Kluyveromyces lactis: one gene and its partner. The protein of the gene in region 2 interacts with the protein of the main gene of each other region in a biochemical or structural test. Links are inferred from orthologs where the notes say so. Each region holds a gene or a part of one and is shown on either strand. Other genes may lie near its edges.

Evidence for each region. The genes of interacting proteins can lie anywhere in the genome.
Region 1: the proteins of SKP1 (region 2) and KLLA0_F19943g form a complex in vitro, tested with the Saccharomyces cerevisiae proteins (2 studies listed by BioGRID). The link is inferred for Kluyveromyces lactis from reciprocal best matches to the Saccharomyces cerevisiae genes SKP1 and YDR131C.

Annotation. Positions count from the first base shown.
Region 1 is NC_006042.1:1,856,310-1,859,859, reverse strand, and holds KLLA0_F19943g (uncharacterized protein), read left to right. Parts: upstream 1-1,355; coding exon 1,356-2,936; downstream 2,937-3,550. Other genes in the region: KLLA0_F19965g (uncharacterized protein), read left to right, coding at 1-466; FIN1 (Fin1p), read left to right, coding at 3,141-3,550. UniProt on the Saccharomyces cerevisiae protein: Substrate recognition component of a SCF (SKP1-CUL1-F-box protein) E3 ubiquitin-protein ligase complex which mediates the ubiquitination and subsequent proteasomal degradation of target proteins. Probably recognizes and binds to phosphorylated target proteins.
Region 2 is NC_006041.1:1,507,322-1,509,705, reverse strand, and holds SKP1 (SCF ubiquitin ligase subunit SKP1), read left to right. Parts: upstream 1-1,272; coding exon 1,273-1,821; downstream 1,822-2,384. Other genes in the region: PEX3 (Pex3p), read left to right, coding at 1-967; YSP2 (Ysp2p), read left to right, coding at 2,186-2,384.

The DNA of each region.
Region 1 (3,550 bases), on a different chromosome or scaffold from region 2:
TAAAAATCCGAGGGATTTGGTGGTACAAATCGATTCCGGTGACTTGACTCTTTATTTCAATAAGAGAATGAAAACTATTCACGTCAATGTTGCTAACCCATTGGACTGCCGTATTTTGAAGAGTTTGTTCACAGACATCAGGAAACAACGCAATATCAATGAATCTCAATTCGAATATCCTAATTTCAAGGGATACGTTTTCCTCACTTGCACGATAATAGCTGATTTGACTATCAATGGATTGCCATGTAAAAACGTCTGCTCGAAAATCGATGAGATCAAAACCAATGAACAAATCTACGATTTCAGTAACGGCGATGGCATGATGCCAGGTTTATCCTTATACGTTGTAGGGCCCTCACTTTGGCGCTTGGGGGTAAAGAATGAGCATATCATCTTCCTTCCACTAAAATTGAATTGTATCTCAAATTTAAGACAGTTCAATAAGAATTTGCAATTTGTCTGAAAGAAAGTCTTTTTGCGCAGAGTCAGACGTTTTTAATTTTTGACCTATTTCCACTGAATTTTTTTACTGCTTTCCTGAACTGTTACTTATGTAACATCTTCTCACCGTCTCCCATCATTTGCATATTTCATCTCTCATTATCCTCTTAACCTCTTCCTCTTTGTCAGCTCATCTTAGCCAAATTTTTTCAGTGCATCATTCTATTATCTAAAGTTTCATTCTTCAAGCTTTTCGATGTAGGAGTCGCATATTTTCTTTACGGAGTTTGACACATTGGCCAGCTAGTACCAGTCGAATCTGCTCATCTTCTCGTTCACTGCTGTCACAAATCTCATTTTAAAAACGTTTACTTTTTAAGTTGTATTATTTTTGCTTTTACGCGACTCTCGTGATTCGAACGGAGGAGGTTTTTTATTATAGACATTGTTTTTTTTTTTTTAGTATATATGTATTATTGTTCACAGGCTTTTTTTGTGTACTTGTCGCAGCTGGCGACACATATTCGTTAACCAATCATTCAATTATCGAAAAGCTTGGTACTCCATTTTGAATTTGGCTCATTTCAAGTTGTAAAAAAAAATCTTAAATCTCTTTGTAAAACGGTTCATCCTTATGCAGGGGAACTGCTGATCATCTCTGTATTGTTTCAAATTGACCAAATGTCCATAAAACCACGGAGGGTAATATGGACTAGATATTTATTCTTGTGAAATTCGTACTAACCATATCATTCGCTCACGTGACATTCTTATACATTGCCAATCATTTGTAAGCTACTGATGAATTAATACAAATGCTACCTTAGCCTCAGGAAACGCTTGTTAACTTTTGCACACGGAATGCAACAACGCACTCAATTGATGAAAACAGCACTAATATAACAGCACAAATGCTCGAACAGCTTCCGAACGAAATATGGCTTGAGATACTGGGATATTTATCTCAAATCGAAAAATCATCCTTGATGATGGTATCTCACCAACTTTACGATAAAACAGTGGCGTCACTCTACCAAAACCTATATTTGAACGAAAGACCAATTATACACATCCCAGAATATCCTTATTTTGGCAACAACTGGTCTACGCTTGTGTTTTCTGAAGCAGGGCGATCATCAGTTAAGTTTCAAGCGCTATTCAATACTCTAAGCAAGAACGTTGAACTTTGCAAGCTAATAAATAAGATACACTGTACTTGGCATTTAAATCGGAATTTATTGACAAGGTTTACCGGGCTCATATGTGAACATGCGACAAATATTACTTATTTTGAGAACTTTCTATATATCGAAACATTCGAAACGATCTCCAAGTCTCAGCTTGCATCGCAGTTAAAATCCTTAGACATAGTCCCGCATGCAAAACTTCCGGGGCCTGCATATGCTTCGTACTTGACTAGCATAACATCTATGGCAAACAAATTTAATTGGGCCAATATCAAGAGCCTTACAATATACTTTGATGCACTCATGTGGTTCCCAAACTTTGTCCCACTATCGGAAAAGTTACAGTTAACTGAACTATGTTTAAATCTTCGAAATGATTCTTTTCCAGGATTCGAGAGTGCACCAAGAACATCAAAATTTAGTGATTTATTTGATGTGAATACTTTGGAAAAGCTTTCCATTTTGTCGTGGTACGAGACGGAAACGTTGGATGTATACGAAGAGTATGGTTTGTTCGATCTTTCTAACTTTAAAAACCTCAAAGAGATTTCGTTGTTGTCTATATTTTACAACGAAAACTTCCTATTATCCTTGTTTTCTAACCTCACTAGATTGGAACAACTGAAGTTAGACTTTATGTTTGATCACGTCTTATCTAAAGACATCCTTACCATTTTATCTGGCATCAAGACGTTGAAATACATAGATTGTAAATTTGACGACTTGGATGAACCTATTCTTGACGTAATTGAACTAGACGACTTTGCAATATTTGAACTCAATCAAATGTGCCTATGCGATAGTTGCAAGCATGTTTACAGTGACATTATTCTCAAAAAATATTTCCCTACCAAACAGGCTTTCATGATTCAAAACTCGAGTGATATTCATTCTAAACATTTCATCAACCATATCTTTAAACTCTACCCAATAATCCCTTATTTCCATTTACTAACAACGTCCCCCTGCATTGCATACAGATCAAAGTCAATTGAAGAACTCGCTAAGAAGAGTAACGAGCTTCTAAATGACCTGTTTTACGAATATGAATCTGACACTACTGATACTAAAATAACTCCGGAAGATATCGTTTCTTTGTATCATTGTATATGTCATTCAATGAGGAGAACTTTCGACTTCTTTCTAAAACTCTTCCCCAGGTTACATATACTGGTTATCAACGATATGCCAACTATCGTTGATGAACAGGATGAACAAAAATTTACGAAGCCAATATTTTATTCATCTGGTTACGAAAGTAATCAAGTATACCAAGTCATTAACGATGAAACACTATTTGATTAAAGAAAGAGATGATAAACTCAACATAGCACATGACACATAGACTCCAATTTCGTACAAACTGTACAAACCATAAACTTTTATACTCTTGCGGTATAAAGCATCTGACTATTATCCAGATTTTTGAGATATTGTGTATACAGATTGTTTAAAAAATGTAAACAAACGGATTTGATTCAATCGAGATGAGACGTAGTTGCGGGAAAAATGATCGTTTTAAACAAAAGAGAGACGACACCAGCTGCCAAAATGGAGTCACCATCCAAAATCCCCCTCCAAGAACTTTCTAGTAATGCGTCTCCACCTTCGTCAGCCAGTGGAGAAATTTTCAAACGTCTTTCAGTATCACCTAATAGAAATCGTAAACTCCTGGAGAAGCCTGCTGCCAGGTTATCACCACAACAAAGAGTTCAAACCCCAAAGAGGTTGCCTTCACCTGATATACTTGGGCCCAATTTAAGCCTTGATAGATACGAGCGTCAGAAATCCAGTGTTGTGAAGATAAACGAAATAGTTTTCCCAAATTCGCCTACAAAGGCATCTGGAGCGTTAAGGAATGTACCAGTCCTTGGAGGTGACGGGTCACTATCGAGGATAAGAAACAGATTCAAGATCAA
Region 2 (2,384 bases):
ACTCAAAGCTATCACCAAGATCATTATCTTGTCCTATACCACATCATTATTGATGCTTTTAACCCGATTGCAATTGAATATATTGGCAAGAAGAGAGTATTTGGATACTGCCATCAATTCTGCCATGGAAAAGGAAAGGGAAAAGAAGGCTAATCAATACTCAGTCTTATCTTGGTTCTCTAGTTGGATCACTGAAAAGAGCAACAATTTACCCAGTGAAAAAGCTGACCCAAGAAACAGCGATGGTACTATTGACACGGACACAAGGAGCATTGCATCCACTGCGAACCCTGAAAAATCGAGATACGTTAACGAACAAGCTTTCTTATCCTTATCGTGGTGGTTATTAAACCGTGGATACCTACAATACAAGAGTATCATTGAACAATTGGTGAAAGAAGAGTTCCAAAATTCGAACCCAAGAGATATCATGACAATGGATGAGTTCAGTGGCAAGATAAGCAAGATATTCGTCACCACAAACAAGCAATTCTTTCAACAGCCACAATCGAATGAAATGTTCATTTCATGTCTACTTCCTGAACCTAACTTAGAGAGATTTGTTCTTCAACAAACTTTAGAACAAGATGCTTTGAAAGTACTATACGAGGATAATCTATTACTAAAACAACTTGTACAAGAGACCAACAAATGCCTACAATCACCTGGAACATGGATTGTCCTGGAGTCTTTAATCGATGAAACATTCCACACAATCATGGAACAAATCGAGGATAATGTCAACAGCAAATCGAAACCTAAATCGAATGATGACGACACCAAAGTAGTCGATATATCCAAAAATTCATATCAAATCGCATTATTCTCTATCGCCACGAAAGACTGCACAAACGAAATGTTGAAAGCGGGACTCGTATCAATGAACAACAAGTTCCTACAGAAACTACACTCCATCTCGGCACTTGACGATCTCAGTGCATGCGTATATAGTAACTTCGGTCTATGAAAACCTTACTTGGCCCTCCATTCAAGTACTGAAATCGCTCCATACCGTGTATGTAGATAGTTCTATAGTTAACGTTACTCTTTCACTGGCACTACGGGGTTTCTCTTCCTGTTTCTTTAATGGCCACGTGATCATAATTTTCTTTTCCTTAAGGTCAAATAACGAAAAGAATCGAATTCCCAACAGGTTGTCAATCAACATGTTATACATCTCAGTTAATGTTTGCAAGTGGATAGGAGCTTGGTGTTTGTAGTTAGTTAGCACCATAGAGTTACCAAGTGGGTTCTATTTAGTACCAGAAAATCATGTCCAAGGAAAACCAGAACGTTGTTTTAGTGAGTGTTGAGGGAGAGAGATTTGTCGTTGACAGGAAGATCGCTGAACGCTCACTTTTACTAAAGAACTACTTGCAAGATCTTAACAGTGGCGATTTGCATGATGATAACGATGCTGACGATGACGAAGATGATGAAGAGGATGGTGACGATGAAATAGTGATGCCCGTGCCCAATGTGAGGTCGTCAGTATTACAGAAAGTGATCGAATGGGCCGTTCATCACAAGGATTCCAATTTCCCCGATGAAGATGACGACGATTCGAGGAAAGCTGCGCCTGTGGATCCATGGGACCGTGAGTTCTTGAAAGTGGACCAAGAAATGTTATATGAGATTATTCTAGCAGCTAACTATCTAAATATCAAGCCATTGTTGGATGCTGGATGTAAAGTTGTTGCGGAGATGATTAGGGGCAGAACACCTGAAGAAATCAGAAGGACCTTCAATATCGTTAACGATTTCACTCCAGAGGAAGAAGCTGCCATAAGACGTGAAAACGAATGGGCAGAAGACCGTTAAACTTACAAGTTTTCTTGTTGTTTTCTCTTTCTGTATCTACATCCTCTTCAGTTTAAAATAGCAATTTCCCTCATTTCCCGTATGTAATCAATAATTTAAGTACTTGCTTGTTAAGCGGATCTTAATTGAAGTAGTGAATTTGAGTCATGGGCAAACGCAGGGATCGCTTTCATATCGCATTTATAGCTTCAAGGTCTGTCTCTGCACCGATAATTTTTCATTTTTGTACCTATATATAATATTTAAAGAACGCGCTACCTTAAATTGAAACTTTTTGCTTCTGGTTTTATCTATTCAAGGCAGAACTGCATCGATAGATGCACCATAGGACCCTTGTTACTGGTATACTTGGTGTAGGATTGTGATGACGTTGACCATTGGTGAGGAGACCAAATCCAGACTAAGATCGCTAAGCGGGAATACTAGTTCGTTGCTAAATTTAAACAAACGCAAGAAGAAGAACAAGGAAAAGAAAAAGGATAAGGACAAGAGTCAACCAAAGTCTCAGGGCAATACACGTGTGCTACGGTCTACGAGTCTGAAACCCAATGTCAATGATGATG